Canis lupus familiaris: one gene and its partners. The protein of the gene in region 1 purifies or fractionates together with the protein of each later gene. This does not show direct contact. Links are inferred from orthologs where the notes say so. Each region holds a gene or a part of one and is shown in the gene's direction. Other genes may lie near its edges.

The links. Proteins that work in one complex are often made in the same cells at the same time.
Region 2: the proteins of RMND5A (region 1) and RANBP9 purify together in Homo sapiens (affinity purification with mass spectrometry; 9 studies listed by BioGRID and IntAct, counting the BioPlex papers as one, with this or other methods). This does not show direct contact. The link is inferred for Canis lupus familiaris from reciprocal best matches to the Homo sapiens genes RMND5A and RANBP9.
Region 3: the proteins of RMND5A (region 1) and RANBP10 purify together in Homo sapiens (affinity purification with mass spectrometry; 4 studies listed by BioGRID and IntAct, counting the BioPlex papers as one, with this or other methods). This does not show direct contact. The link is inferred for Canis lupus familiaris from reciprocal best matches to the Homo sapiens genes RMND5A and RANBP10.

What each region holds. Positions count from the first base shown.
Region 1 is NC_049238.1:38,751,124-38,758,992, reverse strand, and holds the start of RMND5A (E3 ubiquitin-protein transferase RMND5A), read left to right. Parts: upstream 1-3,052; 5' UTR 3,053-3,578; coding exon 3,579-3,720; intron 3,721-7,869.
Region 2 is NC_049256.1:14,364,809-14,371,727, reverse strand, and holds part of RANBP9 (ran-binding protein 9), read left to right. Parts: intron 1-2,849; coding exon 2,850-2,961; intron 2,962-6,598; coding exon 6,599-6,729; 3' UTR 6,730-6,919. UniProt on the Homo sapiens protein: May act as scaffolding protein, and as adapter protein to couple membrane receptors to intracellular signaling pathways. Acts as a mediator of cell spreading and actin cytoskeleton rearrangement.
Region 3 is NC_049226.1:82,311,867-82,318,961, forward strand, and holds part of RANBP10 (ran-binding protein 10), read left to right. Parts: intron 1-1,774; coding exon 1,775-1,887; intron 1,888-3,342; coding exon 3,343-3,451; intron 3,452-3,561; coding exon 3,562-3,710; intron 3,711-3,901; coding exon 3,902-4,106; intron 4,107-4,850; coding exon 4,851-4,972; intron 4,973-5,434; coding exon 5,435-5,580; intron 5,581-5,902; coding exon 5,903-6,014; intron 6,015-6,463; coding exon 6,464-6,594; 3' UTR 6,595-7,095. UniProt on the Homo sapiens protein: May act as an adapter protein to couple membrane receptors to intracellular signaling pathways.

The sequences.
Region 1 (7,869 bases):
ATTTCTGATCAGTGGATAATAACTCTTATGTCGTCAGGCATTATGTTGAATGCTTTAGATAGATTACCTCATTTAATTACTGTAACAACCTTTTGAGGAGAATAAAGATTCATTTGGTGGCACTGTAGGGGTAAGAGAAGCAATTATCTTAGAAATATCTCAAAGCTACAAATGATGAGGATGCAGAAGTAAAAAGCCACATTAGGACATTAGGAAATTAGACTCAATAGAACTTGATGTTTGACTACATGTGGAAGATGAATAAAAAAGGGAGAAGATAATCTGTATCCCTAGGGATACTGATGAGGACAAAATCCTGAGGAACATCAATATTCTGGGAGTGAATGAAGGCAGTTGAATTAGCAAAAGGATCTTGGGAAGGATGGAGATGGGTAGCAATGTAAACAAGTTAGTGGAGTCGAGGCATTTGATAAAGGGTTGAGAGTCCTGCAGGTAAGTTAAAGATGAGGATGGAGGGATACCCAACTTTAGTCGGTGGGGCAAGAGACTCTTGATCTTGGGGTTGAGTTCAAGCCCCATGTTGGGTATAGAAGTTACTCAACAAAAGATAAGGATGGAGAAGTGGTAGCTGTAGCTAGGAGTTAAGGTAATGCTGACAAACATAAGGTAATGCTGACAAAAAACAGAGGAGTCAAAGGGAATAAAGTTGATTTTTTAAAGAAATAATGCACTTTTTTTAGTATGTTGCCTTGGAGGTAATGAGTCCTCTGGATGATGCTGTCTTGGTGGTTGGAGGGAATGTGAAGCTAGAGTTTATGAGGCAGATTATGGCTGGAGAGGGGAAATTGTAATGTGTTGTCCCAGGACAGCAGGTAAAGGAAAAAGAGGTTGAGGATAAAACCTGAGGCAAATACCCACCCACATAGACGGCTAAATGAGCCAGAAAGGGAGAAGGTGTGACTGAATTATTTTACCAGGGCAATGTCAAGGGAGAATTTTACAGGTGAGAGTAAGTCAGAATTTTCTTGTGTAGCGGTGAGCTCGAGGAAAAAAAAAATACTGAGAAAAGAGAGAGCTTATCAAGGAGGTCAGGGAGGAAAAAGTGAAAAGGTTTGTCTGGGCAGTTTAGCAGTGAAGAGTAGAGGAAAAGGAAAGCATTTGAGAAGGGATAAACAAAAACCATCTCTCTCCCAATTCCCCAGGTAGGTCAGTTCCATTCAGTCTCAAAGCAGAAAGGAAGAACCTAGTATATAGGAGGGGAAGGAGGTCTGGAGGAAGGTGAGATGAAGCCAGCAAGTCGAGGCTGGCAACTTAGAAGGTAGAAAAAACTCTCATTCCTTCAAATACTTGACAACAGTTCACAACGGATGGTACAAATACTCTGAGAAGAATGGCAGAGGATGCTGGAGCTGGATGTTTATCTTCTCAGTGAAACAGCAATCGGGACCATCTGCCAAGAAAGAGGAGAAAGAAAATTGGTTTGGTGGAGAGGGGAAAAGAGATTTATAACAGCAATAGCTAGGGCCACTCTTGAAAATCACCAAGAAATGAATAAATTGACTCGAGACTAGATCAACATGATTCCATTTTAGGTTGCCATCTCAGATTTACTTCTGGGAACAGGCAATACTAACCACCACCATTTCTCCTATGGCTATTCCTTGCTTACTATTAATGTTTACATATGATATCTCACTTAATTTCCCAAGAATCCCATGCTGCACTATTAACTGCAGTTATTTCCAAGTTATAAAAAAGGAAATTGAGACTCAACAAGATTTCGCCTTAATTACAAAAAAAAAAAAAAAAAAAAAAAAAGCCCACTATGTTGCTAGGCACCACTTTCGGGCACAGATAAAGATGGGGAAGGGGCTTGCCTTTATGGGGATTTACTGAAGAAGGGCTGGCGGAAAAGGAAACGAAAAATCGAACCCGGTTATTTCAGCTTTTAACAAATGGTGTGAAAGAAAACTGGTGATACGGCTGATATATATACACAAAAAAATATGACACAACACTGGAGGAGTGCAGGAAGGTGGAGCGGTGTACCTATCAGGGTGGTCAGGGGAGGGTCCTCTGAGCGGACAAGTGAACTGAGACAAGGATGAGAAAGGTGTCCGCGTTTTCCAGGCCAACGAGGAGCTAAGCGCAGAGGCCCCGAGGTGATTAACTAATGCGGCTTTCCGAGGAAAGCTAACAACGCCACTGGAGCCTAGTGCGCGAGGGGATACAGGCCGAGGCTGGAGACCCCGCGGCGGTCGGGGAAGGATTGACGCCAAGGAGGAGGTGACTCAGTTCGTATGGATGGAATAAGGCGCCAGAGAGCAGGGGCCAGGCGGGGCCGCCCTCCCGCGCGGCTTTCCACTGCGTGGAGCTGCCCGCACACCGTGCGGCGCGCCGGCTACCGGCTGGGAGAGTCCAAGCCCTGGGGCCGAGGCGCCGAGGCCGACAGCGGGGTGGGCAGCGCGACCTCCCCGCGGCACCAGCGTCGCAGCAGCTCCGACGGCCCCGCTGGGCCCTTCCCCGCGCCCGCCCCGCGCGGCTACCGAGCAGCCCTCCTCGGCCGTGCTCCGGCATCACCCCCGCCCCGCCGGGCTCCGTTTTCCGTCCGACGAGTCCCGTCTTCCCAAACTTCGGAATAACAGTAGTCCCAGGAGTGCGGGTGAGAGGACACAGATGATGACCGGGGCGAACTCCTTTCGAAAACAGACCTTCCCCTCTGTCTCGTTCTCCCTCCTGGCTTTCCCGAAATAACTTGCTTCCCAGTACGCACCCCAAGTCACCCCCCTCCAACAGCGAGACCGTTGGTTCGGCCCCTAGGCTACGATTGGCTGAGGGTTTACGCCTCAGCCAGGGATTGGAGGACGTTGGTCCCTTACGTACCGCCCGCGCCCATTGGTTCTTTTTCCCCGTTTCTGGGCGGAGTGGTTAGGGACGGTTTCCACCCTCTTGTTTACGGAGAGCGCAGTTGTAGCGCTCTGCGAGCGCCGGGGCTGTCTCCAAAGTTCCCTTTTGAGCTCCTCGGGCCAATTGGGTTCTTGCTCCACCCTCGCCCTCTCCCTCGCACGCATCCCGCGTGGTACTGCCCACACCTTTAGAGCGGCGGCGTGAGCGGACGGCCGTCGCGTCCTCCGCCCGCGAACGCTAGGCGGCTCCCCCTCGAGGGTGCGCTTGGTACGGCCCGCGCCGCCTCTTTCCCTTGCTGGGGTGGCTGCTCCCCCCACCCCTCGGGTCGGCGGCGCTTGGTGCCGCCCGGGAGAACCAGGTCATCGGTCGGTTCCCGTGAAAACAAAAACAATCGGCGGCGCCGCCGCGGGCAGCCGAACGCGGCGGGCGAGGACCAGGGTCGCGGGGCCGGGTGCGGAGAGCGAGCGGGATCGGCGGCGAGGCTCCGGGGGCGGGGGGAGGGGGCATGGGGCAGGCGGGCACGGGCTGCACCGGGCTCCCCCGGCGCCGCGGCTAGCGCACCCGCTGCCTCGGTCGCCGCCGCCGCCGCCGCCCGCGCCGCCCGCCTGGGGGACGAGGAGCAGGACGCGGCCTCGGCCGGGCCCGGGCCGAACGGCTGCGGACACCCGGGCGCCGGGGAGCCGAGCGCCGCCGCCGCCGCCGCCTCCGGGATGGATCAATGCGTGACGGTGGAGCGCGAGCTGGAGAAGGTGCTGCACAAGTTCTCGGGCTACGGGCAGCTGTGCGAGCGCGGCCTGGAGGAGCTTATCGACTACACGGGCGGCCTCAAGCACGAGATCCTGCAGAGCCACGGTAGGGCGGCCCGGGTGGGCGCGCGGGGCAGGGCCCGGCCCCTCGGGCCCCGGCGGGCCAGGAGGGATGCCCCTGCCTCCCCCGAGACGCGGAGACCCCTCACCCCACCCCGCGCCCCTGCCCCTGTGACTGTTCCTTCTCCCGATTTGCCTCGAACCTGCCCCGACCTCGTTGTCAATAAAGAGTGAGCGCCCTCCACCCGGAAACCCAGCCCGGAACGGGGTCCAGCCGGCTTAGACGTGTGTGGGGGCTGGTCCGTGGCCCTTGCAAACTGCCACCGTCCCGGGGTGGGCGGCCCTCGCCCCCGCCCGGGCCGGGCGCGCTCAGGTCCCCGCGGTCGAAGGTGCGCTAAGTGCGTTGGACCCAAGGCTCTGGTTGATAAGAGGGTCAGTGCCGGAAGCCCCTTCTTCTGCCCCAGATCCTTGGTCCGGGGACTTACTTTCCAAGTCTTTTTTTTTTTTTTTTTTTTTTTTACCCCTTCTTCTTCTTCTTTCCGTTCTTTTTTTAAATTAGAAAGTCGAGTGTTATTCTTAGCTGTGGGTTAACAGAACAGCCGTTGCTGCAACTTCACGATTTGACTCTTGTGTGGAAGCAGCTCTTAGCTCCGCAGCAGCACAGACAGGATTCCTAGGAAACGAGCCGAATCGAACTGTTCAGCTCTCCTAATGTAGCCTGAGGAAGAACAGGCAACTTTCCTGAAGCAAATTGTGGCGCAAGTTGTGAGATACTTGCCTTACCTGGTCAAGTTTTTACTTGTTTTCCTTTTAGAAAACACGATTTTCTGTAGAAGGTGGTCTGCCTAGATTATTTCTTTATTGCTCTAGGACCTGGGGGCAGATACTTTGCGGAAGTTAACTTGTGGAAGCTGGTTGGGGAGGGTTTTTGGTTTGGGTTTTTGTTTTTTTTTTTTTTAAGTAACATTAAAGGTCTGGTATCCTTAGAGTAACATATTCATAGTGGTGTTCCTCCTGCTCAAGAAATGAAGGACTTTATTTAATGGGTTCATTCAAGAGTTTGGAGGAGCCTTCTCAACTCCTAGCTGAACAGCAATTTATGGAAAGTTTGGTAGCTGGGATGAAATGCTGTTACATAGGGTGAGGTGAAGACAGTGGTGCAGCTGAGCCTCTCCCCTCCTTTCCTCTCCTACGTCTTTCTTTCTAGACTCCTTTCAGTGGAGGGGAAGTGCTAGCCCATAATAAAGGAGTCTGAAAACCTCTTATTCTGAACATGGCAGTCACTTTTGAAGTCCAGATAAGAAGTGAGCCTGCAACCGTAGTGGGAATGGGAGTTAAAATATTAATATGGAAAAATAAGCAGACCAGTTGGCTGCCTGTGAAGGGAAGCCGAGGTGGAGTTGGCTGCCTGTGAAGGGGAAGCCGAGGTGGAGTTGGATGGGGGGTCCTGGGAAGGCTTTGGTGAATTTGATTTGGGGCATGTGAGATAAAGCTGAAGGGCTAGTGAAGACAGAATCAAGAACTTAATGTTCACTGGTGGCTAAAGATGCATGGTTAGAATTGGGGAAAGTATGATCGAAGATGGTTTCCTAGTATTTCTACAGAGAAGAGTGAAGGAGGTCACGTAGGCAGCAGGGAAGAAAGACTGTAGGGTCTAACCACACCTTGAACGCCTCTTGGAGAGAGAGCTGGAGGAGCCAGCAGAAGCAGAAAAGGCAGGAGCTTAGAAAAAGAGAGGTTGTGCAGCTTGTATTTGGCTATTGGAAGTCAGTGACCCTCTGTGCTTGCAGCTTCAAAGAGTTAAAATAAACTAGATTAGTGGGTGTAAAGAAAAATGTGTGAACTGAAGTGTAAGGAGGCCCAAGGCTGTTTAAGTACAGGAATGGGAGGGGTGTGTGCGTGCCTGTGTCCCTCTGTCTCTGTCCACCTTCCTGCCCATCTGTTACAGGAAATCTTTGTCTTGTTAAAGACTGGAAGGTAGAGAATGAGTGAAGGTTCTAAACTTGGAGAGGTGGAAGGAGCGTTTCCTTTTTAGGGACCAGGTCAGAGATTGAGGGGTTGGATAGGCAAAATTTGAGAGAGAAGATGGAAAGTAAAATATCTTCCTACAAAAAAGGAGGGGGGTGGTATTAATTAAAGGGGAATGTGATTGCAAGCCTCATTTTAGGGAATTTGGGGCCTATCTTAGATGGATAAAATAATTGGCAGAAAATGCTGAAGCAGGAGTTTGCTTTAGACAGATTGTTTTTGCTTGGTATTGGAGTTTCGCAAGGAATATATGGTGTGAGGGTATTAGCCACAGAGTATGCCATACTATTCAAATGGTCTGACTTGGTGAATTACATATGTTCCTTTCTCAGCCACCTATTTTTTACTGTCTTGTCTACCAAATTGCAGTTTGATATTACTATTTCTTTGATTTTCTTTAATTTTTTAATAATAGGATTACATGACTAAAGGCAGTTATGAAACACGAAAGAAAAATAAATACCAGGTCTGGTTTCCAAAGTGGACTCTTTTTTTTTTCTTACAGTATTCTTATGTGTGAAGGCAGACATCGTGCTTTGGTATCTAGATTATAGGAATTTTCAAAGCAGGTAATTTCTGATATTCTTTGCTAGTGATGTGGTGTTTATTACATTTGTATCTTAGATATACCCTTCCTAAAGTCATGTCTACTGAAATCTGAATTTGGAACTCCATTTTCAAGTTTGAATATATTTGTCTGGGCAATTGATCTTGTGAGCTCCTATGATCTGAGAGAGGGGCTCCAATTGGGACCATCTGTCTGGGCTTTGGATCTCATTCTCTGGAGTTGTGATAATATTCTTGTAAGAATATGATGTGAATAAAGTAGAATCTTGGGAACCATATAGATCATGGTATCATACTGATGGTGAGTAACTGCCTGATTCAGAAATACCTTTTTAGCTATGGTCAAGGGATTAGTTAAGTTTTTAAGGATGATTTATATTTTCTGATGTTTATACGCTTTTTTTTTTTTTTTAAAGATTTTATTTATTCATGAGAGACACAGAGAGGGAGAGAGGCAGAGACACAAGGCAGAGGGAAAAGCAGACTCCATGCAGGGAGCCCGATGTGGAACTCGATCCCGGGACTCCAAGATCACGCCCTGGGCTGAAGGCAGGGGCCAAACCATTGAGCCACCCAGGGATCCCCTATTTTTCTTATGTTTAAATATCTTTTTTCCAAAGTATGAACAACTGTACTAAATGAGGACAGTTAGAATAGTTTGTGGTGGAAACTGATTTTACTAAATGGGTTATTTAGTAAGTCTGTTGACGACCCTTGTCCACTCTCACCACTTTTATTCCAGATTGTGAATAAAATCTGGCCAAAGGGGGCTCACCTGGCAACTGGCCTACACATAGTCCTGCAGTGAGCCCTAACATTTCTTTCATCTGCTCTAAATTGCCTCTACATAGCCTGAAATTCTTTCATATAAATTTTCTGTAATTAATTATTTTAAAATGCATTTGTCTTCATTCAAATACCTTTTGGGAGAAGAAGGGTGATGTGGATGGTCACTCACACCTGGTGGATTAGTTTGTACTCTGCCATTTAATCTACCCCTAACCAAGTCCAGTCTGGGAAAAGGAAAATCTTTTTTTTTTTTTTTTTAATTTATTTATTTTTAATGGGAATGTGAGGCCTAAGTCAGAGGAGTCCTTTGAGAGTATAAGGCTCTGACAGTTAAGTGCAGGCTTTGGCTAGGTCATAGCCATGGAGTTTTAGTATTTGAGGGGCAGCATAGCAGTAATAGAAGAGAGAAGAGGCAGTAAAGAATGACAGCGAATACTAAAAAGAAGTTCTGAATTCTGATCATTCTTCTTCCTGAAGACTGATTGACTTAAAGGCTTTCTTCAGGCCCAAGAGCTGCCTGGGGAACTTCAGAGTGGTAGATTGGATGATGGGGGAGTGATCCAGAACCTGCTGAGTTAGGTGTCTGAAGTAAAAGGGATTAAAGAGGACTGTTCACAGCAAATGAAAGGTCTGTGCTGAGGTGTTTGGGATGGGAAAGGAATACCATTTTTAAGCTTAATTTGCTAGAAGTTCAAGGATTGTACCAAGCTCGGATTCTTAACCTTACTTTGATTAAACTTTAGATTCTCTTAATTTTCTCAACTTTTTGGAAAGAGGAGAGAGCACTGTTATTTAGTTGTACCAGCTTTTC
Region 2 (6,919 bases), on another chromosome or scaffold:
CTAGAAAGAGTCAAAGGATAGGATTATTGTGGCTTTTGCTGTATACTGCTGCACTGCTTTCCAGAAACTCTAGCAGCTCACCACCAGTAGAAAAGGAAAGTGCCAGAGGCTGTACTGCATTGATGTACTAGTGGCTTCCACATCAGACCTTAAAATTGCTTGTTCGCATTTCTTTGGTCACCACCTCAGTTAAGTTTTACTGCGGGATTTAAAGCATTAATGTCGCTGCCTCGATTTCATTCTCTTTGTGAAGAACCTGGAGGTATAAACCTTTTTTTCTTTTTCTTTTCTTTTTTTTAAAGATTTTCTCTGTGAGAGAGCGCGAGCACAAGCAGGGGGAGGGACAGAGAGCCCAATGCAGGACTCGATCCCAGGACCCTGGGATCAGGACCTGAGCTGAAGGCAGCCGCTTAACCAACTGAGCCCCCCAGGCGCCCCCCCCTTTTTTCTCCTTTTAAGGTGGTGGTGGTGGTGGTCTTGCGGTCAGCCTCACCTGACTCGGGGCGTGGTTCCGCGGCGCTGCCGCCGTCCTCCTGAAGTCCGGTTTTATCCACATCGGTCCTCGATTTAAAGCTCCACCGCCACGTCGGAAAACAAATCCAAGCTGTTTAGTGTGATTTAGGGGCCCGTTAGGACACCCCCCCTTACCTCTGCCTCCATCCATGCCTTCCCTTCCCGGCCTTGCCGCCCCGGATCTTGCTCTGCGGTGTCAGGTGGCCCCGCTCGCCCGCCGCGACCGCTCGGACCCTCCGGAGGCCCAGTGTGTCTGAGTCCTTGAGAGCTCCTGGGTCCTGGTGACTGCGGCTGCGTGCAACGGACATTCGATTGTATTGAAACATGAGAACAAATTACTAGTGTCACCGGTATCCATGCGGGTAAATGACTACCTTCGTCGCCTTTTTCCATGAGCTTTTCTTTAAAATACTAGAAGGTGTAAACAGAAGAATGGTCTGGATTTGAGGTTTGGGACTGCAGCATTTCTCCTTTTGGTAGCGTGCCTGCGTCTATAGACCCACGGGGATAGTTTTGTGCTTAAAGGTTTTTACGTGCCCGTCGTTCCTTGGGCAGTCCTTGAGGATGCCTGAGAACTAGATCTGTTCTGTGGGAGTGATCCCCGGGCGGGGCTGTGGGTGTCAAGTCTTGAGCAGAGATCAGTCCCTCAGAAAGCATGCCACTGATTGGAGTCGGCTTCCGGGCGGTAGGACATGAATATTCCCTCCATCAGTAAATTCGGGGGTGGGGGCACCCAGAAACAGAAACAGAACCGAGTCGCTCTGCAGGGTGCCTGTAAGAAGCAGATCTTGTGATGAGCAGGTGTGCGAAGCTTCCTCCCTGTTCCCGGCACGTACAAGTAGCTGCAGGGCACTCAAAATAGGGCAGTAAATTTTTCTCTTCGGAGACCTTTCATTCTAAAAACGGGGCCAAGCTGTCTGACATGGATGAGACCTTCAACGCGGGGAAACTGCCTGTGTGTGTGTGTGCACGCGCGTGTGTGTAGGGGGCGTGTATTCCCTTCTGGTGGCCTCAGGCTGCACAGCTGGCGCCTTAGGGGCCTCTAACCCCCACCCCCACCTCCCCGACACAGGCTGGTTGGGTGAGAAGGGCCAGAGTCCCCCGGGCCTGGAAACCTTACCCCCACCTCTGCTTTCACACGGTAGGAAGTAGGTTAGAGGAATGTCCACGCAGCTGCACCTGGGAATACTTTGCTCTAGGAATTTCAGCCTTTCATGGGTCCCTAATCAGCATTTTGAAAGTGTTACCTCACCGACCTACAGCTGCCTCAGCACTTTTCCACGTGTGCCTTCGGAATGGGGAAGGCATCTGTGATTTGCCTCTCTGGGTCTAGACTGCTGCTCCAGGTTAGGGCTCTGACTTTTGGCAAAATAACACACCTCGGGGGAGGGGGGTGCGCCTTGGTGGCTCAGTGGGTGAAGCGTCTGCCTTCGGCTCAGGTCCTGATCCCAGGGTCCTGGGATCGAGCCCCACGTTGGGCACCCTGCTCAGTCAGGGAGCCTCCTCCTCCCTCTCCCGCTGACCCTCCCCATGCCCTTTCTCTTTCTCTGTAATAAAATCTTAAAAAAAAAAAAAAAAAGACATGTTGAAAGATTAGAGTGAACTGACGTTGCTAACTTCATTGAGCTGTTCGTCCTTATGACGTTCTCAAGTAGCCTTTTCTGTAGACACGTGAGGAAACGGACACTTAGGCCATTGCTCACAGAGGCCACACCGCAGCTGACAGTGCAGCTTCAACTGGAAACCAGCGTCTGAAACTGTAACAGGCACCTCAGTGGAAAGAAGACAAAGAGTCCTTGATTGGAAAGATCATCTGTCACTTTAGGAAGGGTGGCTTGAGGATGGTGGGGACTACTGCATGTTTGTGAAGGGGACCAGTTGAAATTTTTGATTCCTGAGTGAGAAAAGGACGTCCAGTGAGATGTATCGAGTTCCCACATCTGTTTTTAAAAAAATCTACAGGGAGGCCCTATCCTTTTAGTGTTAAATTTGGATCAGTGGTAATAAATTAGCATCTGGATATTTCTGTCTTCCTCTTTAGCCCATTCCAGAATTCCTTTTCATTCTGCTGATGTATATGTGTTGTAGGGGTGGGAGACGATTAATGAGAATGGCTGTTTATAGTAAAGACCAATGAAAGCAGCATCGGCCTTGTTGCATCATCTAATTGGTAAAGAATATGTAGCCTCAGAGTCCTAGGGGGTAAGTGGGTTTAAATGTTACAGCAGCCTCACGCCACCAAGCTGTGTATTTTACTTGTCTCTCAACTTGGTAGCCGCAGGGGCACCACAGTAGTTTAAATGTTAGAATTAAAAACCAAACTATGTTTTCAACAGGATGCATTCAGTTTACTCGCTTATTCGGATCCTTGGAACAGCCCAGTTGGAAATCAGCTTGACCCAATTCAGAGAGAACCTGTGTGCTCAGCTCTTAACAGTGCAATATTAGGTGAGTAAAGCACAGCTTCAGCTAGATTCTCTGAATACTTGAGATGGTATTTGCGCTGGGAGCTGTATTTTGGTAAAATCTTAAGGGGTAATGCTTTCAGCATTTTAAAAGTTAAAATTATTTTGAAATACAGAAACCTTCCCCTCCATGATCTCAGTTCCAGATGAAATGGATTCACATGGAATAAAACAAAAACAAAAAAACCCCAGGACTTTGGGATCCACCTTGGGAAGTTGGGAGAATAGAGGCTTTTGTGTGCGTGTTATATATGAGCATTTCTGGACTGAACCACACTTCCCGCAGCTCCCACTGTGCTTAAAATGCAGACAGAAGGACTTCCAGGTGACGTGAGCGTGCCATGCGGTCGGCACCAGCCCCCAGAGGAGCAGTGTATTTGTGATAAAGTTCAGCATATTCAACGAGATGCCCTTAGCAAATAAAAAGGATGGAGGAGAAAGGAAAGGGTTTCAGTAGTGAGGCTTGGCCAGAGGTGAGCCTGCGTGAGGCACGGGAAGTTGCCGTTCCCGCCAGCAACTCGATCGCCACAGACTGTGATGATCGTACTTACCTACCGAACAAACACACTTCATATATGAAGCCTGCAGCATTCTGTGCATTTACATACACACTCTACAGGGCTGTCTAGGTAAAACTATCTTGTAATTTCTTTTCAAAGATAATTTATAAAGAAGAATGATTTTTTTCACCTGACTTTAGAATCTGATTCTAAAATGAGACTCCACATTAATAGTCTTTTCTTGCAACTTGAGCCTGTCGGGTTTGGGGGCTTTTAGGAACAGGTTTCAGACTGTTGTAGATATGGGAGCGGGAGACTGTAGAGGGCAGGGCTCAGGGCCAGAATGTAAAGGAAGCAGCTATTCATATTTGAGCCTTATTAGTCCGTTTATTTGCTCTTACAGAGTTAAGTGCAGTTGACCTTGGAAGAATTTGCATATAACTTTTGACTCCCCTAAAACTTAATAGCCCGCTCTCGGCTGGAAGCCCTGCCAACAACATGAGCACTTGATGAACACGTATCTTGTATGTCACCTGCATTTTACACCTTATTCTTATAGTAAACCTAAAGATAGGAAGACGACCATAAGGGAAAATACATCTATGATACTGTAACGATATTAAAAACCCACATGGAAGTGGACCCATGCAGTTCAAACCCCTGCTTCTCAAGGGCCGACTGTTAATTCATTGTGTATTAAGTATACATAATGGAGGTTTTAGAATGAGAACAGTTTTGTTTTTTTTTAAAGGCATCTTTTGTGGTGTTTTCTTAAATTTAGAATTTGTAAATAAAAAATAATGTGAATTTTCTTTGGATAATGTGTTGTATTCTTAGGTCATGAGATTCATTTAACTTGATTGGTAAAAATAGAATGTACTAGCAGTGCTGGGATTATAGGGCAAATTCTGGCTTACAGCGTTTTTGAAATTACTGTGATAGGTAATCATGAAGGCTTAATTGCTTCGTATTTAGGTATCCCTCCGACTTGGAAAGAATTTTCATTTCTTTGCTTTTATTCTCATCTTCCTCCAAATTTTCATTTACATTTTAGTTAACATATGGTGTATACTGGTTTCAGGAGTAGAATTCAGTGATTTATCACCCAGGGCTCATCATGAAAGTGCCCTCCTTAATGCCCATCCCTCACCCACCTCCCTCCATCCACCCTCAGCTCTCGATCTTTAAGAGTCTTAATGGTTTGCTTCCCTTTCTTTTCCCCCCTTCCCATATGTTCATCTGTTTCCTTAAATTCCAGAGTGAGATCACATGGTATTTGTCTTTCTATGACTGATTTTGCTTCGCAGCATACCCTCTATCTAGCTCCATCCACATTTTTGCAAATGGCAAGATTCCATTCTTTTTTTGTGGCCAAGTAATATTCCATTGTGTATATATACCACATCTTCTGGAAAGAATTTCTGGAGGAACTAGTTTTCTTAGGACAGTTTTTTATATCTTGGGTTCTTTAAAGGAATTCAGTTATTAGGTATTAAATTTTTTAGCACCCTTATGCAAGATATATGTATTCTTACTGTGCTATGTATTTTGTAGTATGTAGGTTCAGCTATAAATAGTACTTAAATTTATAATCATATATTCCTACAAAATTAATGACAAGATTAATTGCTGTGGGTGAATGTGCATTTATAAATATCGTGATATTTTACAACTTTAATTAGTGCTTAAAGTTGTCACATTAATTCCTACAAGTTCTATATCCAAAAAAATTATAAAGATTTAGCTTAAACCACATGCTGCCGCTACCCCCCTCCCCGCAAGAAAATTATAATAAAGTACCTCTTAGATGCTTACCTTCGAGCTAGGTTACTTCCCTATAAAGCATCAAGCAACATTTTTGAAAAGATGTTTCCTTTTCAGTTTTTATTGTTATGATGGTTTTGTGTATAAAAATTGTTCCTGACTCCAGGCAGAACTGTAAAAGCCAGTCCTGCTTATATTAGACTTGGCAAAAAATGCTTACCACTATCAAAGTTTTAACAAGTATCTTGACAAAGAATAGCCAGGACTTAATCCTAACCCACGGACCACTTTCCAAACCATACTTCCTGACTAATCTGTATGTTTTTTGTTTTTTTGCATTATTTCATTCTTATATTCTTTTTCTTTTCTTTTTTTTTAAGTCATTCTTACATTCTTGATCCTATTTTCTCTTGTGCCTTTAAATCCTGAATTTGCTTTTTATTTGGAGGTGGGGGCTCCATTCCTTCTGGAACTTTTCTTTCTCTCGCCACATTGCAAACTTGGAATCCAGAGTAGAACTAGTCATGGAGCATTACCAGCCAGTGTCATGGCTTTTGCCCTTTGTTGTCAACTGTGTCTACAAGACTGATTAGTAATTGTTATAAATTGGGAATCTGCATAAACTTAAAATGTGGACATCTCTACCCAAGAAGGGATCACCAGCTGCTAAGTGGTTGGCCACTTTCACCAGTAATTCGTTTTTTCATCTATGGCAAAGAACAGATTTTGGTGATTAACTACATTTGTACTACAGTTGTCTGACAAATTTCTGGTATGGTATGTATGATCCTGAAAACTAATTTATTGGCAATTTTTAAAATATTTTATCTACCAATTATAAATTTAACTCCCTCCGAGATTAGAGGGTGGCTTTGCTCTTGTTGCCTCTTATGGCCGCCAACACCATTTGCCCCCAGAAACCCAAGTAACACTCACCAAAGTGCCTTGGAGACAGCCTCAGCTGGGTCCTCTCCCCAAAAGGGGTAAGAATCCAACAGTGAACTTTTACTGAAAACCTGGTGTCTTTTTCTGGTTAAGTCAACTGACTTTAGTCAAGTTGAGGAACACTAAATATTCCTTACTCCTCACTGAATTAGCAGGTAAGAAATCACATCTTTAAGTATCTAAAGCTTTAAGTCTAAATCTGCAAGAATTCTTAACAGTTGAATACCCAATACCCGCATCATCCAGAGTAGCATGTCCAACACAATCCTCATTTGCTTAGAAATTACCATCGCTAGTTAGGTCATGAAGAACAGCGTAGGTATCAGTAATCTTTAAGGTAAGGCAGTATTTTCCCTGCTTTTAGAAAATGTCTTGCTAACTGCTGTTTCATTTTGAATCCTTTTTCCTCAGAAACCCACAATCTGCCAAAGCAACCTCCACTTGCCCTCGCAATGGGACAGGCCACACAGTGTCTAGGTCTGATGGCTCGATCGGGAATCGGATCCTGTGCATTTGCCACAGTGGAAGACTACCTACATTAGCTATGCATTTAAGGAGCTCACATGTCTATTGTGGCATATAGTCAACATGGAAGTAGACCAGCTCTGCTGATTTGAAATTTAGATTTTTTTAATTATGTACTGGGGACAGGTTTTTGTCGCTTTACATTGCTTCCTAGTTTACAGCATGATGCAAATGATTTTCTAACTTGGTGTTAGGAGAAATTATTTT
Region 3 (7,095 bases), on another chromosome or scaffold:
TTTCAGCTCTCAGAGCTACTGAGAAGCTCTTCCTTGGAGGGAAGTCAGTAGTCAGTACGGTGCCAGTCCCTAAGCAGGCTTGCTGGGACAGGCAATGGGAGAGGTGGAGCTGCCGCAGCTGTGTTGAGCAGGGAATGATACTCTCAGCTTACAGTGTGCTTATATGTGTTTATATGTGTGCTGGTGTGTGTTCATATGTAGTATTTGCCAAGACTGACAAATAACTTGTATCCTGTGATTTCATGCAACTTCATTTTATGAACATTGTTAATGGCTGGATTATCTTGGAGACGAATTTACCACAAGCTCCTTGGCCAGCTTCCCTTGGTGGGAGGTTGAGGTTATTTCCTCTCTTTTGCTTGTATAGGCAACCCTTTTTAAGTAAAGAGCTTTTCACACTTAAGATTATTTTCTTGGTGTCCTTTCAAGAAGTAGAATTACTGAGTCACTGGACTGTACATATTAGTGGCTCCTGATGTGCATGTGGACTCATCTGAACCATGTTTTGTCAAAAATGTTTGCCCTTGTGTTTATAATAACATAGTTATTATAATTATCTGGAGTGTAAGATAAGTACATAATTTCATAATCAGAGGTTTATTTCATTGACTTTTTACTCTATGCTAGGCACTCCCTACGTATCATCTCATTTACTCCTTAAAACCTGAGGGGACACAGCTGAACTTCTGTGCCTTTCACATTTGTGTTTGGCAATTACAGTAATGACACTGGACACATGTTTATACCAAGGGATTCACTTCTGTGCATATCAGATGTGAGGGCTCCCCCTTCTGCTCTACATGGGTGTGTATGCACATATACACACATGTGCCACCGCTCAGCCAGCTGCGAGTGGGATCAAATGGCTACTGAGTGTTGCACTCGTCCAGGTCATTCCCCGAAGATTGTGCTCCTATTGGCCCTGTTGTTGCCTGTATCTTGGCTTCTTGGGCCCCTGACTTGTGGTGTATGGTAGAGTAGCTTGGGTCACGGGTTAGCTCCCCATCACCCTCTAGAGCCAGCACTCCTGAAGGCCAGGTTCACCTGCTGAGCTGGAATGCTTAATGCTGGGCATGTGGGACGGTCTGCAGAGGAGCCCCTCTATCTATAGAAGGCACTCACATGGCACACATCACTTCTGTCTGGGCAGCTCCTAAACTGCTTGGCTGGCTGCCACTCCAGGAAGCCTCAGAGACACTCTTGGCCATCTCTGGGCTTGGCCACAGTTCACAGGAGGCAGCCGCTGCTGTAAGGAGACGGTATGTGCCTCTGCGACTGTTTTTGTTACCGTACTTGCCCACTTGTTGGCAGCATATTCCAGAGAAACTGCAGCCCCTCCTCCAAGCCATGAGAACAGCTGTGGGGCCTACCCCCTCCGCAGCCTGACTTGCATGAGCACCGGGGGATGTTTTTATTTTGTTGCAGCCTCTTTTTTTTTTTTTTTTTTTAATTTTTATTTATTTGTGATAGTCACAGAGAGAGAGAGAGAATGAGGCAGAGACACAGGCAGAGCGAGAAGCAGGCTCCATGCACCGGGAGCCCGACGTGGGATTCGATCCCGGGTCTCCAGGATCGCGCCCTGGGCCAAAGGCAGGCGCCAAACTGCTGCGCCACCCAGGGATCCCCTATTATAGCCTCTTTATTCTCGTTCTATGGAGGTTGCACCTCCAAGATGTGTTTCAGGAAGCCCAAACAGGGAGGTAGCTGGTCCTATCAGATGATCAGTGAGAAATGCAGTTCTAGAGTGTCACCTTGAGCATTTCCTTTCTTCTAGCATGGTCTCATCTTACCTGGTGCATCATGGGTATTGTGCCACAGCCACGGCTTTTGCCCGAATGACTGAAACCCCGATTCAGGAAGAACAAGCATCCATAAAGAACAGACAAAGTAAGGTTGATTCTCCTCTCCCCTCTCCCTCCTTCCCTCACCTGTCCCTAACTCTGCTCTCTGGCTTGTGCCAGCCTCGGGTAACCTGTCAGGAGTCCATTCGGCTCTGGCCCTGCCCAGCCAGTACAGCCCCAGGCTCTGCTTCTGCCCCTCCTTCAAGACAGCGCTGCCCAGGCGGACAGCCCGGCAGCATGGGAATGAGTGCCTCAGTGCGGCCTCCCTGCTGCACACTCTGATGGCCCGGCCCAGGCTGGGGCCCGGCATGGCTGACTCTCACTCCTCTGTGCCTGTTTTCCTTCCCCCGAATCCTGGATTCTAACAGCCTCCTGCTCCTAGTCTTCTGGAAGAATGTGTTTGCATCTTAGCAAACCAATGTCTTGCCTTTCCCCTTTACTCAGCTTTAGTCGTTATGTCTGTTCCTGGCCAGAGAAAGGATTGACGTAGTCAGACAGGGTGAAGGCTGGTTCTCAGTGGCTGCTGGGGTAGCACCTCTCTCTGCTTCCACCTCTGGTCCTGCGTTTTACAGACCACCAAAGGAAGGAGCCAAAGGAAACTATACTGGCCTGTAATGTGTTTGGGGCTCTTTTGTGGAAAGAGGGTGCTGGGAAAGAGGAAACAGAGCCCAGAGAGGAGATAGGAAGAGAAGAGGAGAGTGAAGGAGAGCAGGTGTGTGTGGATGTGTATGTCTGTGTGTGCCTGCTTGTGTCTCTGAACCTGTCGTCTCTGTGTATGTGCATGTGTCCGTGTCTCCCAGAGAAGCTCCGCCCAGCCAGCCAGATGGAAAGGGATCCCAGACTTGGGATCTACAAATGAGAACCTCAGACCCAGAAGTCGCTCCCAGCAAGATACACCAGGCCCCAGAGCAAGAGCAAGATGCTGATGGCCTGAGAGGTGTCAACATCAGAGATGCCAGTGTGAGGAGGGTGACCTCCTCTCCCAGCAGGGAGCATGCTGAAGCCTCTGAAGATTGCCAAGACTTGGGGCCTGGCCTAGAAACCATTGTGCTCCCATTGCCACCCCATTGTGAGGCCTGAAAGGAGAGAAGTCTGTCTGAAGAGGAGCACCTAGGGATACCAAGCAGCCTGGGTGCCCAGCTCCAGATCATGCCCCCAGAGCCAGAGCCCCTCCCCATGCCCGGGGCCCTGGCTGTCTGACCTCCATAGGAGCAGGCCTCCACATTTGTTCTCCTGCCTCTGCATTGAGTCCTGCCTCTGTTTCCCTCTGTCATTCTTTGAGGACTCCCTGAAACTTGGCAGAAACCAGGGTCTGTTGTGGGGCTGGGAGGCCAGGTTCTTTCTTCAACCTCTTCTGTGAGCATCTCAACCAGGCATGCCATTTTGAGCCAGCCCACCTGACTGTTGGCTAGACCATGCTTGGGGCTGGTAGTGTGCAGGCATGTGGCTGTGAAGAAGGTCTGCAGCCCTTCACTCACTGCCATACTCTTGCTCTCTGCAGAGATCCAGAAGCTGGTGCTGGAGGGCCGTGTGGGTGAGGCCATTGAGACCACACAGCACTTCTATCCAGGACTGCTGGAACATAACCCTAACCTGCTCTTCATGCTCAAGTAAGTTTTGAGCACCACCAGTTCCCTCCTAGCCCAGCCCCTCTCAGCTGGTGGTGGGAACATATGGCCCAGACCAAGCCCAGAGCATTGCCGCTCTGCTCCCTCTGCAGGTGCCGACAATTTGTGGAGATGGTGAATGGGACTGACAGTGAGGTCCGCAGCTTGAGCTCCCGAAGTCCCAAGTCCCAGGACAGCTACCCTGGCTCCCCCAGCCTCAGCCCCCGACACGGCCCTAGTAGTTCCCACATGCACAACACAGGTCAGCCACTCTCCAGAGGGCTCGGGGAAGCACTGGTGTGGAGAAGGAAGGCCACCTACATGCCCTTCCCTGGGCTTGGCTCAGGGCCCAATGTTGGATGTGGGGGAAGGGAAATGGAACCACTGTGGTTATTCCTGGGGCCCCATTATGGCAAACTGCCCCACCTCTTCTGACTGTCCCCTGGTTTCCAGGAGCAGACAGTCCCAGCTGCAGCAATGGCATCGCATCCTCGAAGAGCAAACAGAACCACAGTAAATACCCTGCACCCAGCTCCTCTTCTTCCTCCTCGTCTTCCTCATCCTCCTCATCCCCATCATCTGTCAATTACTCCGAGTCCAACTCAACAGATTCCACCAAGTCCCAGCCCCGCAGCAGCACCAGTAACCAGGAGACCAGGTGCCTGTCCTGCTCTGCTTCCTCTGTGCCAGCTGGGCTCACTGTAGCCTGTTTTGAGTGCCACACCCCATGCTCTAAATCCCCCACCTCCATCCCTGGTCTGTGCCTGGAGTAGCTGCTACTGACTTGCCAGGCCAGGCATTGACTCCAGCTTCTGGCGCTACCTGTGGCCTAGCTACCACTTTCCTCAGCCCTGACTTTCTCAAGAGACACTGCCAGACTGAGATAACGCCAGGGTGAGGATGTCTCCTCACGGGAGACCAGGCCTAGCAGAACCCCTAGGATCTACACTGAAGAAGCGTTTACTGGGTATGGCTTGAGATCAGACAGATGGGGCAGCAGAGTAAAGTTTTAGGCTGTAGACTACAGGTGGCTTTCAGCAGCCCCCAGGCATATCTCAGTGCTTGACCTGAGTTTGGTGCCTAGAGATACTTCTCAGGGGTCCCTGGTCACTGGGGATGGGGGAGGAATGGGTAGAAGGGATGTGCCAACTCAGACAAAGGCCAGGAAGAGGAAAGCCACAGAGGCAGCATTGAGACAAGAGTGAAAATCAGGTGACAGGTTTCTGGGGATAGCTGATACCAGAGTAGGCACCAAGTGTTGGAGCCTAAGAAGCCTTTCATGCTCCTAGGGTCCCTTGATTTTCCCTACAGCAACCTATGGCTGAAGCCTGAATGGAGGCCTAGCTAGGCTGCGCCTAACCACATGCCTGTGGCCAACTCCCACCTCAACCTTTCTCCACAGTGACAGTGAGATGGAGATGGAAGCAGAGCATTACCCCAATGGTGTGCTGGAGAGTGTATCTACACGCATTGTCAATGGCGCCTACAAACATGAGGACCTACAGACAGATGAGTCCAGCATGGGTAAGAACCATGGCCCAGCATGGTGTTACATGGGTGGTAATAGCTTAGTCCAGATGCCTTTGCCCCCTGGGAGGGGATTGGCATGGACAGGCTTTGTCAGCCTGAGAAGCTTTAAACGGACCTGGTCCACTGCTGCCTTAGTCAGTCAGGAACGGGTGTTTGAAGCGGGAAGGTCCCTGGCCTGCTGCTGAGAGCAGGGCCCCTGCGTCTGAGGCTAGAGGGAGTTGGTGAGAGTGGGCATTCTTATGAGCACTGTACAGAGTGGGAAGGAGAGAAGCTGAGTCCAGACTCCCAGTCACATGCTAGGTGGACAGAAAGCACCTCAGCTATGGATGGTCCACCTAACTTGCCTCTGGCAGTGCCACCAAGATCCTTATTGCCATCTCCTTTTTGGGGTCCCCACGCCAGTCTCCTCTCCTCCTTATCCCTCATGATTTGTTCTCTGCTGGGCTCTGGGTGCAGATGATGGGCATCCTCGGCGGCAACTCTGTGGGGGCAACCAGGCTGCCACAGAAAGGATTATCCTGTTCGGTCGCGAGTTGCAGGCACTGAGTGAGCAGCTGGGCCGGGAGTACGGCAAGAATTTGGCCCACACGGAGATGCTGCAGGTATAGAACAAGCCAGGTGCTCACACAAAGCAGACCCCCATTTGGTATGGGGGTGGGGCAGGTCAACCCTGGGAGGGCCTTGGGGGCAGCAGCAACAGGACAGAATGGGCTCTAGTCAAGTCCACAATGGGAAACGGGACATCCAGTATAGACACAACCCTCTCTAGGTCCTGGAGAGGGCACAGTCCTTTCTGACCCTATGCTCAGGGTTTGTGGTGCCCTCAATGGGGCCTGTATGGGCCCTGTATGCCCTCCGGAGCCATGGAGGTGTTTATGGGTGTGGTATGTACCACAGTCCTCTCAAGAATGCCCTGTCCCTTAGGATGCCTTTAGCCTGCTGGCATACTCAGACCCCTGGAGCTGCCCTGTTGGCCAGCAGCTTGATCCCATCCAGAGGGAGCCTGTGTGTGCTGCCCTTAACAGCGCCATTTTAGGTAAGTGGATCTAACAAAAACAGAAGCTGGTCCATGAGTGCCCTAGGTGGCCCCTCCACTCTTTCCCCAGGAATTGCTGATGTTTGTTCAAATCAGGTCAGTGAGCTCTGCCCTGGCAATCTCTGGTAGCCCAGAGGACTTGGGTTTCCATGGCTGAACCTAAATCCTGACCTCCTTCTGCCCAACTGACTTGGCTGACTACATCATGATAGACCCGGGCTTATGACTGTGGGCCTGGCCAGCCCATGGCTCTGAAGAGAGCTTAGGTCCTTAGGTTCCTGGCATGGCTACGGGGCCATGAGCTGGTGGTTGGGACATACACAGAGACATATGAACACTGTGTTTTAAGGGATTCTGTCCACTGCCCCTACTTTCTGCTCCCAAGGGAACTTTGCCCTGAGCCCAACTCCTGGGCAAAGCAGTGACCAGGCCTTGTCTCTCCTCCACAGAGTCTCAGAACCTGCCAAAGCAGCCCCCTCTGATGCTCGCCCTGGGTCAGGCATCTGAATGTCTACGGCTCATGGCCCGAGCAGGCCTGGGATCTTGTTCCTTTGCCAGAGTCGACGACTACTTGCACTAGCAGACCATGCCAGCTGGCCCCACCTGGCCCTCCCTCAGCCCCAGGGCTGGAGCAGCCCTGCCCTCCATAGGCATTTGGCGCAGGGACCTGGAAGCCATGGGCAGAGTCCATTCCTCCTGCCTGGCCTCCCCCACTCCCTTTCCTGTCCTTTCATCCTTCCCTCCCTCCCTCCCTTCCTTCCTTCTTTCCTTCCTTCTTTATTTCCTGCCTGCCTGCCCTCCCTCCCTCCTTCATTCCTTCTTCCTTTTCCTTCTTCCCCCCACCCCCACCCTCAGTTTCTCTCTCCCCTTCACGTGCAGCGGCCTCTGACACAGTATTGGCTGGTTACTCTCATGTAGCGCCTTCTACTTTGAAAGGGGGGTCTTGTTTTTGAGGAGGGGTTGGGTTTTTTTAATCTTTTTTTTTTCCTCCTGACTGAGCCACCAGTATTTATCTCTGGAGAGCTTGTGCTGAGCTGGTTTCTGCTAATTTAGTGATGAAGCCTATCCAAGTTGGTGATAG